Caenorhabditis elegans: one gene and its partners. The protein of the gene in region 3 purifies or fractionates together with the protein of the main gene of each other region. This does not show direct contact. Each region holds a gene or a part of one and is shown on either strand. Other genes may lie near its edges.

Region 1 (3,753 bases), on a different chromosome or scaffold from region 3:
CAATCGCCCATCGCAACCCAAATTGAACATACGAGAATCTTGATGCTGGAACGGATTTTAATTTTAAATGTAGAATAAATATATTGGAAACCTCTTTAAATATCGGTAGAAAATTCGGTTCACAGTAATTTTTAACGTCCGGTAGAAGACAATTTCCTAAATCCTGGGCTATCTCGCAAGTCCATTTCCTTGTCGGAGTCTGAAAATAGGACGTTACAATTGCTTTTTTAAATTTGGGAAAATGTGGGGCTTCATTGGGTCTCACCACGATCTCAATTCTGCGAATTTCACAAAAATACACAAATTACTATTAAACATTTTCAAAATACCGTGATGAGTAATTGAAGGCGCACAGGTTTATTTGGATGGGTCTCGCCACGAGAAAAATTTCAAATAACAAATTTTTTCTCGCGGCGAGAACCTACCGAATAAATCGGTGTGTTTTTAAGTGCAAATATCAGAAAATGGAAAAATTACAATATCGTCCGTTTGCGGAAACGTGACAGTAAGTGATAAATATTCCATAATAAATTCATGTTTTCTCTGTACATTTCAGAAATTGACATTTCAAAAACTCCACTTTCCACATCAACTACGCAAGTATCTAAAATTAGGCACAAATCGTGGTGAGACCCACTCAGATAAATGCACTCACCGCATCCAAGTGTTCCTTCACGCAAGACGATAACTTGTCTGGGAAATTCTTTGCAACATCTCTTAAAGTAGAATAGCAAAAGCTCATTGGACCAATATTGAATGCATCATGAGAGCATCTATCCAATGTCTCAAATAGGACAAAGTCCTTGTAGCATTTTGTATTTTCCATACAGGTCTGAAATAAGACGTGACTCAATTTAAATTAGTTGTTCAATCATTTTAAATTAGCCAAAAACATTGTTGAATTTCCGTACTTATACGATTGCTTTGTTAAAAAAACAATATCTTCTAATGTCGGTGCAAAAACCGCGGAGCGGTTAATTTATTTCGGTACTTCATCAATAACATTTCAATTTTCATCAGAATAAGGTTCCAGAAAAGTACTCATGACCTTACATAATACTTATCACAATGTGCTGTCAATTCTGTCATATTCCACGTTTTCGTTTGTTCGGGATACCAAGAGATCGATGTTCTTCGGAACCATGATTTCATTCCTTCCTGGAAAATGGAAATTATAGAGCTTTTTGAATTGTTTGTTTTAATAATTATGGGTCGAATTTAATTTAGTTAGATTACTTTTAAATTACTGTATGTAGGGTGTTGTGTTACAACAGCGATACACTTACAACAGTTAACACGAAATTGCAATTTTGAACTTTTGAAGCTCAAAACTAGCGATATTGTTGATGTAATTCAATTCTCTCGCAACAAAATTTGAAAGATTCATAACTATTTCTATTGTCAAATGGAGAACGAACCCAGAACCAGCACCGACTAACTGCATTCCTTCCAACTGGATCATCCTGTTGCAAACAGGAAACTTTCAGACGATTCTTTTCATACCAGTCATGTCTATGTCCAGTCCGGAATGCACATTTCAAAGAGGGCACAAGTAAAAAAATAAGAAATATAATAGTTGATGAAAACTTCATTTTTTGAATATGAAATCTTCGAGGAGAGTGGAGAAATCGGATGCCAAAAGATTGGAAATCAAATGTTAAGAACAGCTGTTTTCTTGAAAATTTGATGTAAACAGCATGATGAATCTGACTGAAAATGAACCTGAGCAATGGAGAACATAGATTAAAAAGCTATTTTCAATTTAGTTTGTTTGTATTTTTCGAAAACACTACAACGTAGTTGTGAAAAATGAGTTTATTACAGAACTATATGCACAATAACATTTCATACATGTTTTTATTAATTCAAAAGATACTTTCTCGTCGAAGTTCCATATCGAGTTAATGTGGTAGTGGAACCTTGTCAGCAGATTCAGTCTTTGGCTTATCAGCTTCTCTCTTGACTGGGGCCTTCTTCTCAGAATCAGCAGATTCAGTCTTTGGTGGATCAGCTTCTCTCTTGGCTGAAGCCTTCTTCTCGGAATCAGCAGATTCAGTCTTTGGCTTATCAGCTTCTCTCTTGGCTGGGGCATTTTTCTCGGAATCAGCAGATTCAGTCTTTGGTGGATCAGCTTCTCTCTTGGCTGGGGCCTTCTTCTCGGAATCAGCAGATTCAGTCTTTGGCTTATCAGCTTCTCTCTTGACTGGGGCCTTCTTCTCAGAATCAGCAGATTCAGTCTTTGGTGGATCAGCTTCTCTCTTGGCTGGGGCCTTCTTCTCGGAATCAGCAGATTCAGTCTTTGGCGGATCAGCTTCTCTCTTGGCTGGGGCCTTCTTCTCGGAATCAGCAGATTCAGTCTTTGGTGGATCAGCTTCTCTCTTGGCTGGGGCCTTCTTCTCGGAATCAGCAGATTCAGTCTTTGGCTTATCAGCTTCTCTCTTGGCTGGGGCATTTTTCTCGGAATCAGCAGATTCAGTCTTTGGTGGATCAGCTTCTCTCTTGGCTGGGGCCTTCTTCTCGGAATCAGCAGATTCAGTCTTTGGCTTATCAGCTTCTCTCTTGACTGGGGCCTTCTTCTCAGAATCAGCAGATTCAGTCTTTGGTGGATCAGCTTCTCTCTTGGCTGGGGCCTTCTTCTCGGAATCAGCAGATTCAGTCTTTGGCGGATCAGCTTCTCTCTTGGCTGGGGCCTTCTTCTCGGAATCAGCAGATTCAGTCTTTGGTGGATCAGCTTCTCTCTTGGCTGGGGCCTTCTTCTCGGAATCAGCAGATTCAGTCTTTGGTGGATCAGCTTCTCTCTTGGTTGGGGCCTTCTTCTCGGAATCAGCAGATTCAGTCTTTGGCGGATCAGCTTCTCTCTTGACTGGGGCCTTCTTCTCAGAATCAGCAGATTCAGTCTTTGGCTTATCAGCTTCTCTCTTGACTGGGGCCTTCTTCTCAGAATCAGCAGATTCAGTCTTTGGCTTATCAGCTTCTCTCTTGGCTGAAGCCTTCTTCTCGGAATCAGCAGATTCAGTCTTTGGCTTATCAGCTTCTCTCTTGGCTGGGGCCTTCTTCTCGGAATCAGCAGATTCAGTCTTTGGTGGATCAGCTTCTCTCTTGGTTGGGGCCTTCTTCTCGGAATCAGCAGATTCAGTCTTTGGCTTATCAGCTTCTCTCTTGACTGGGGCCTTCTTCTCAGAATCAGCAGATTCAGTCTTTGGCTTATCAGATTCTCTCTTGGCTGGGGCCTTCTTCTCGGAATCAGCAGATTCAGTCTTTGGCTTATCAGCTTCTCTCTTGACTGGGGCCTTCTTCTCAGAATCAGCAGATTCAGTCTTTGGCTTATCAGATTCTCTCTTGGCTGGGGCCTTCTTCTCAGAATCAGCAGATTCAGTCTTTGGCTTATCAGCTTCTCTCTTGACTGGGGCCTTCTTCTCAGAATCAGCAGATTCAGTCTTTGGCTTATCAGATTCTCTCTTGGCTGGGGCCTTCTTCTCAGAATCAGCAGATTCAGTCTTTGGCTTATCAGCTTCTCTCTTGGCTGGGGCCTTCTTCTCGGAATCAGCAGATTCAGTCTTTGGCTTATCAGCTTCTCTCTTGGCTGGGGCCTTTTTCTCGGAATCAGCAGATTCAGTCTTTGGCTTATCAGCTTCTCTCTTGGCTGGGGCATTTTTCTCGGAATCAGCAGATTCAGTCTTTGGCTTATCAGATTCTCTCTTGGCTGGGGCCTTCTTCTCAGAATCAGCAGATTCAGTCTTTGGCTTATCAGCT
Region 2 (3,753 bases), on a different chromosome or scaffold from region 3:
ACACCGGCTCAGAACTGAATTGGGCATAAAAAGTGAGTAAGCAAAGAAACAAAATTAGAAAAAAAAACAAATAAAGCAAAAAAGCAAAATCGATCGATCTTAAGATTGAGAAGGAAACGAATGAAAGGATCAGATCATCGGAAATGGGAGAGATTTGATAGAAAGGCATGAAGACAGATTGAGCAGATCATCTAGTTTGACATCCGACAAATTCAGACAGTTTCAGCGGATATTCTTGTACTACTTTGAACTTCTTCGTGTTGTAAACCTGAAAAATTAACATAAAAGATCGATTTATATTTCAACAGCAAAGTTGGAATCCTATTGAAAATTGTTACTATAGAGTCGCTATCGAGAGAGTTATGAATGCTCTAAAAGCTGATACGTATGCTGAACTCAAGATATAAATTTTCCCGATAATTTCGGCAATTGGCGTTCTCTGAAAATTTAAACTTATCGGAAATTGACGGGGCTGCCGATTTTCGTAAATATAAGTACTGTTTAATTGAGAATATCGCCAGCGGAAAAAAGTGGCCGACTGCCGAAGATTTTAATATTGCGGAAAGAATACCTTTAACTTGTTTGTCTTGGTGTACATCAAAAGTGTTTCTCCAGCTCCGTTGTACACGATTCCCAGTAGATCCCTTGGCAGATTTGGGAAATACTTGCGTGTGTGGCCTGTGAATGTGGCTAAGTTCCAGTATGCGTCGTAGATGATGAAGTGTTCACCCTGAAATCATTTCAACCATGACAAGAAGGTTTTCTTAAGATTGATATCAACTCACACTGAGAACAACTTGATTTCCATCGGCCCATTCAAATGCTGACAATGGATGGATTGTGATGTTTCGGGGAAGATCTTGTGGGGTATTTTTCGCCAGCTGGAATCTACGATGTTTTCTGTTCCAACGGAATCTGTATGCAGTTCGTCCATCAAAGAGAATTGTGACTCCAGATCGAGAATTTGTCAATGCGGCGGTCACAGTTCTCGGTCCTCCAGCAAAGAATTCACTGATCAAGTAAGACGCTTTTTGTGGAAGTCCGTCTTCAAACCAAATTTGATAAACCCTTTCGCGAGCAAAAACATAGGTTCTTCCATTGATTCCCTTTGTAATTGCATCGAATTTTTCAGGACAGACATCAAATGACAGAGCCATTGCTTTCTTTGGAACTTCAGCTTCTTTCTTTTTCGGAACAACATGAGTGATTCTCCATGGAGCAAGGATCAAGTCACGACGTTCACGTCCAAGGACGACTTTCTGCTGACGATGCTGCTTGTTTTTTCTACGACGGACTGTTGGATCTTGTCCACTGGCACGAATCATTTCCCATTTGGTCTGACTATTCATACGTGGCAAAGTTGGAACTTCTTCCGAATTTACTTCGTATTGAGGTGCGTCATCTTTGTCGTCGATCATCTAGAAAATAAGTAATATAACATTTGTTTAAAATTAGAAAATTCCTTCTATAAGAAGGCTGCAACAATAAAATAAAATAAAAAAAAACAGAGACTTCGCTAGTTCACTTCTAAATTTCGGACAATGTATTTCTTCTTCAGATTACTAGTTTTCACTCATTGAAGCAAATTTTTTGAAAAGAGCTTACTATTGGATCCGATTCGTGTTTGTAATAGGTGTCTCCAATTTCTGAATTGACCATTTTGTCCACGAATCGACTCTCCACCGTTGTCACCAGTATCAACAGCAATACCACCAGTGGCTTCCTCATTCTGAAGTTAAAATAATGTTTCTTCATAAATATTTTACAATGAAGAGAGGGCACGGAAAAATGAAAAAGACAACATGGTTTCCTCCAGACAGACTCAAACCACGCCTCTTTCATACACACGGCCAACACACATTGAGATGGTGTCAGGCAAAGTGTCAAGTAGAGACAATGTTTGAGATGAAGAGACAGAGAACATAGAAGAGGTATGTGGCAGATGAGCATTTTTTAAATTGAGAAAAGGCGAGAACGAGCAAGATAGTTTCAAAGGACAGAAAAGGAGGAAAAAAGTGAGGTCGAACGGAAAACTTTTAAAACTTTCAAACATGAAAAGGAAGAATATTTGAGCAAATAGGTTTGATAAAAATTTGATACAGTTAGGAAAAAAGAAGAAGATGCCCTTAAAATCAATATTGTATTTTATCTTATATGAAACTGAACCCGCTGAGTTGTGAATTTCGGACTATTACGATCAGATGTTTCACATCCTACGTTTCAAGTTCTATTTGTCATATTCTTTTTCTTAAAACCTCTGCCCTTCCAACAGTCTAGAGTAAAGTTACAAAAAGAATCCTTGATGACACATTTCTCACTCCTAACCTTCAATATCCCCGTTGTTAAAAAGCAAGCAACGTAAACATTTTTCCATTATCTACCATCGGCTACCATTTTATTTTTACAAATTTACGATCAAAAATAGATTTTTCTAAACAAAATCATGAGATATCGTCTGGGACATCAAAGTAATATAGCCGACGGCAATTTGCAAAATATGAGAAATATGAGAAGATCAAGAGAGGTATGAAACCACAACGTCTGCATTAACAAGTACCCCTATTTTGCATAACACGAGATTACGATACGTGCGCAAAGAAAACGAAAGAAAAGGACAAGAATAGAAGAGATGAGGATGGTAAATGTGTGAAAAACGGTTGAATTACCAAGTCAAGTAGGTTGAAGAAATGATTTCTTACGAGAAAATGTTGGGTATGACATCTTGCAAATGTCTAGACTTGACTTGAAATAGTAAAAAGGGTCAAAAAATTAAATTTTCATGCGAAGTGCTTTTTATGTTTATTGTACATGGTTTTTACGAAAACGATGTTCAAGTGATATTTTGAATATATTTTCTGTGTTTTAGATAATTCTAAAAACTTTTTTACGACTTTTTCCATAATTTTTGTATACGTTCATCTGAATGAATATGAAATTTCAAAAAGAAGAACTCTAAAGGATCAAACACCACAGTCTATGAAAGTTTGAATAGAGAATAACATTGATATTTTTCCCCATTACTCTCATTTCAACTCCATACATATCTCTTTCTTTCCCGTTGCTCTTCAACTTTTCTTTCTGATTTGAACGTGTTTGCGATACAAAAGAGCCGGGAGGTCTTCCTCGCCGCTGAGACAGTCGCCACCCGCCACATGAAATTATTTGTTCAAATTATGCCTTGTACAATAAGTGTGCGGCTCCTTGTTCAACCATGACACTTTTGTTTTCCGAAGAACAGAGTGGCTCATGCATCGGTCGTGGGGCAAGTCGGCTGAACACTGACTGAAAAGCTTGGCTCGGCGCGTGAAGTGTGCTCATCAGGAATGACGAGTTGCTCTTTTGTAACTCTCCGACAACATGTCTTTTGACTTTTTTGAAGGAAAGTCGGCATCAATACACACACACAAAAAGAGATATGGTGATTATCTGGCTCTCACGTCCACTCGTTTGCAAAAGCGGTGTTGGTTGCCATAAAAGGTTGCTCACACGATTTACTGTAGTATTGCAAAAGAACAATCAAAAAGTGCAAAGTAAACGTGCGTTTTTGAATCTATCCATTTGAAATAAAAGGTCGGGACTGGAGATGAACAGAAAGGACGGTAAAAAGAAAGAAATGAAAGAAAAACTTGTGGAATAGGGTAATGGTCAGTTTTCGGAAAAGTTGCAACGTAAGCGTCTATGAAAATGATTACCGAGAAGCTTATATTTTATCATTGAAAAACACCACTCGTACTCCTATTTTCCAAAAAAAAT
Region 3 (3,753 bases):
TCGGCGTTTTCCTCAGCGGCAGCGACTTCAACTGCTCCTGGCTGTAAATTTTAATTTGTTTTCATGATTAAGATCCCTCACTTAATTAACTCATATAATAGATCTCAAAATATTTCCGAATTCCGATCAATGTCGGAACGGAAATACCGCTAATTGATAATGCACCTTCCGACCTATTTGCATATCACTTATCACATTTTATCATCATCATCATTACCCCATATATTCTTATCAGAAAAGTGAAATTAACATACCTCAAGAGCGTTGGCCAGCTTGGCGAGGACATCTCCATCTTTGAAGAATCCAATGAATTGGTTGCGAGTCGTGGCCTGATCTTTTCCCGGAATGGTCTTTCGCTCTCCTTCCTCTGGGATAGCTGTCTTCTGAACCCAGTCGATAACCTGGTAGTTGGCCTGAAAAATAAAACTTTAATGACCAAAATAAGAATCCGAAAAAAGAACGTTCCAATGTAATTTGTTTTCTCAGTGCAAAAAAGACGCAAATATCCAATACCAGTTCTTTCTGCTATAATCCCATGAGAGCACTCTCAATGTTGCAAGCCTCCATATAAGAGATCATTCTCATTCGTGCTGGACAAGAAAGACGGCAACCACTAAAACAGAAGTGCGTTTGCATCAGAATTAAGAAACAAAGAAAGGAGGAGCAGAGCAGCAGCGCGGTTCAACCAATGAGTTCCTTTTTTTTTGGGAAAGAAGATGCAAAAAGGACGAATTCATCTTGTGTACCAACAAAAAATGGCTGTCGAACTGAACCAGCAATTGTTCAGGATTAATGTCTAGGGAAATTGACCCAATTTTTTGTATAGCTTCTAAACTTTCTTCTCTCAAAATTCCTGCGAAATTCAGACTTTAAAAGAGATTTCATACATGCTAATCTTTGTGAATCTCATTGTATAAAACAGATGTTTCGAAATTATGATGAAATATAAATACTTTTCGTCATGTATTTTTGTTTCCGTTTCCATGGGGATTATTTTTGTGAGTATTCAAAATTTAAAGTCGAATCACACATCTTTTTATTTCTAATTCGTGTAAATATCCTGGTCACCAGACAACATCGATTTTATAACTTTTACGAACGTCTGTCAATTTCTAGGATATCTACAATATCTGCCTCTCATTATCCTAAAGAGTTACGCAATAGCGAATCCGGTGCGCGCGCACACACAGTTAGTTACATTACAACACCATTCTACGGGGTCTGCAGCAATACGAGCGTCGGAACGAGGAAAGATTGGCACAGCTGCCCTTTTACAGAGTGCCGACGCACATCGCCAATCTCGCCGGCGCGATCAAACAAAAAACCTTGCAAATACCAATGAGCGATACATTGCAAATGTTGATGAATAGACTTAATGAACTTGTGAAGGAGTAGGGGAAAATGCACTTGTTCCAAACTTTTTTGTGAGCTCAGGATCAAATTTCAGATAGGTTCTTGTTAGTTAAAAGTACTTATGCATCGTTTTGGCCAATTCCTAGAAATTTTTAGGCATTCCAATGAATTCACCTATGATTCTTAAAAAATCGAACTGCGGTAATTTGAATTCAAAGGTAACTGGTGAGAATGGGGGCTAATCGGAAACAGCTGTTATGCTAGGGTGAATACTAAACCTGCGTTTCGGTTGCTCTAGCGAGAATACCATCTGCCCTGAATCGTTTTAGTTATTTTGAAAGTATTCTTACCTTGTGAACAGCCTGTGGAATCTGTTGAGCAATCCATCCGAGAACGTCTTCCTTTGGATCCTTTGGTGCTTCTGGCTCTTTTGGAGTGGATGCTTCCGCATCACGGTGCTTTCCCCATCTCTTGTTGAAAGTGAAACGCCGAGCAACACCTCCAGACTTCTTTTTCTCTTCTGGAGCTGCAGCAGCAGCGGTGGCAGTTTCTCCTTCTGCAGCAGCTGGGGCAGCAATCTCAGCGACAGCTTCTTCTACTTTTGGTGCTTCTTCAGTAACTGGTGCTGGAACATCGACTGGTGGTTCGGTGGTTGGAACCTTTGGAGCCTTGTCTTGCTCGGCGACCTCCTCGATCTTCTTGATTTCCTCAGACATAGTTGATGTGTTGGTTAGTGACGAGAGAACTGAGACTGAAAGAAACTCATTAATTTTCGAGGTATTCGGAGAAACAAAGAGCTAAAAATGGAGAAAAAATACGAGAGAAATAGACGAGTTGGAGAGGAGAATAAGAAAAATGAGAAAATGGAATGGGGAAAAACAGAAGACTACCATGAAAGTCAACTCAATTACGGGGGTAATCGAATAGAGTCTCCAGTAGCGAGCCGCTAGTAAGCCGGGGTAGCACATTTTGGTAGGCAAAAGACAAAACCGGAATGAGCAAAAGCTTCTCTCTCGCTTGGACACTAATTGCACCCGTCTCTGTCGAGGACTCATTTTCTATTCTAGAACCGTCTCCAAGAATGGGGTTTTAGTGGATATAGATGAGAAGAACAAAAAAAGACGAAGAACTCAAGTGAGACAATGTAAAAAGAAAGAGAAGACGATGTTATAGTAGGGACAATAATGTAAGACTGATTGTGTGAAGAGACTAGATGGTACGCGGAACGCTGAACGCTGCGGGGGCTAGAACAGTCAATCGATGCTCAAATTGCGGGAAAAGGTCATGAAGAGAAAATGCGCGTTTAGGTTATGATTTAAAAAGAAGAACTAGTCATATGCGACTTGAATTGAATCGAAGAATAATGCTAACGAGATAAGAAGCGCTCACTTTTCCTGGAAAACATTCGTCTGGACGAAAAAAGGCAATAAATGTAGGAAGGTAGAGTACTAGAAGGCTTAAGAAAAGAAACCAAAAGAGCCTTTCACTATTCTGGAATAACCGGTTCTTACTCAGCAGGTGAGGTGGCGAAAAAGGGTCATTCAATCTCCTTTTTTCCTCTATTCACATTCATTTCATAACGACAATAAGTGTGTCAAAAAGACTATTCAGACGAGAGAAAGAGACGGTATGAGATGAGAGGCGAGGGTCCACTAACACCATTTACCTTTTTGAATGGTCTACCTCCGTGTCATTTGATATATCGAACCGCCGCCCGCCCCCTATTTGCTCTCGATTCTGATTCAGTCGTTGCTGTTCTCACCTACACTAAATTTAAAAATGAAGCAAATAGAAGTGAAATGAACAGAAGTCCGAACTTCAGAGCATGAGTCATTCATGATTTCGAAATGAGAAACATAGGAAACATAGATTACGAAATCGAGAAAAAGGCGGAGTCAAAAAGAGAACAAGAAATGTCCAGAAAAGACGAATGGAATGGATGTGGGCGACGAAATGAATGAATATGAGAGCAGGGGTATTGCACACATTTTGCAGTGAAAAAGAGGACAAGGCCAGTGGTCCAATCGTCAACCATTACCAGCACCATCACCACACCACCCAACCGCAATGATGCACACAGTGGCAGCAGCCACCGAAACGTCCCTTTCCATTGCGGCAGCAGCAGCGGCAAATGTGTCCCTCTCCCGTCTCTCATAGCGGACGGAAAATTTGGGCGGAGTCTACTGACTTGTGGGGCGGGTGTCCGCGCTGGATGGATGTTTGCGTGTGCTGCTTGAGTGATGAAATTGAAAACAGATAATTTTTGAAGGTTCACAATCGAATGTAACCATGACAACCAAAATTACTGGGTATTTGAGAGTTGAAAGCATTGCATCGAGTTCATACCAATAAAAAGGTTGAAGAATTATTTAGCGCTATTTTATCGGATGATAGAACGGA

Evidence for each region.
Region 1: the proteins of chdp-1 (region 3) and H39E23.2 fractionate together in Caenorhabditis elegans (co-fractionation; one large-scale study listed by BioGRID). This does not show direct contact.
Region 2: the proteins of chdp-1 (region 3) and K03B8.6 fractionate together in Caenorhabditis elegans (co-fractionation; one large-scale study listed by BioGRID). This does not show direct contact.

Annotation. Positions count from the first base shown.
Region 1 is NC_003283.11:14,108,200-14,111,952, reverse strand, and holds the start of H39E23.2 (T20D4.11-like domain-containing protein), read right to left. Parts: upstream 1,612-3,753; 5' UTR 1,593-1,611; coding exon 1,419-1,592; intron 1,159-1,418; coding exon 1,054-1,158; intron 833-1,053; coding exon 656-832; intron 200-655; coding exon 92-199; intron 46-91; coding exon 1-45. Other genes in the region: H39E23.3 (Neurofilament heavy polypeptide-like), read right to left, coding at 1,902-3,753.
Region 2 is NC_003283.11:11,405,560-11,409,312, reverse strand, and holds the start of K03B8.6 (uncharacterized protein), read right to left. Parts: upstream 1,730-3,753; 5' UTR 1,729-1,729; coding exon 1,606-1,728; intron 1,419-1,605; coding exon 786-1,418; intron 731-785; coding exon 572-730; intron 269-571; coding exon 188-268; 3' UTR 1-187.
Region 3 is NC_003279.8:6,283,324-6,287,076, reverse strand, and holds the start of chdp-1 (Calponin homology domain-containing protein), read right to left. Parts: upstream 2,105-3,753; 5' UTR 2,070-2,104; coding exon 1,704-2,069; intron 1,390-1,703; exon of another isoform or gene 1,178-1,389; intron 730-1,177; exon of another isoform or gene 505-729; intron 414-504; coding exon 255-413; intron 42-254; coding exon 1-41.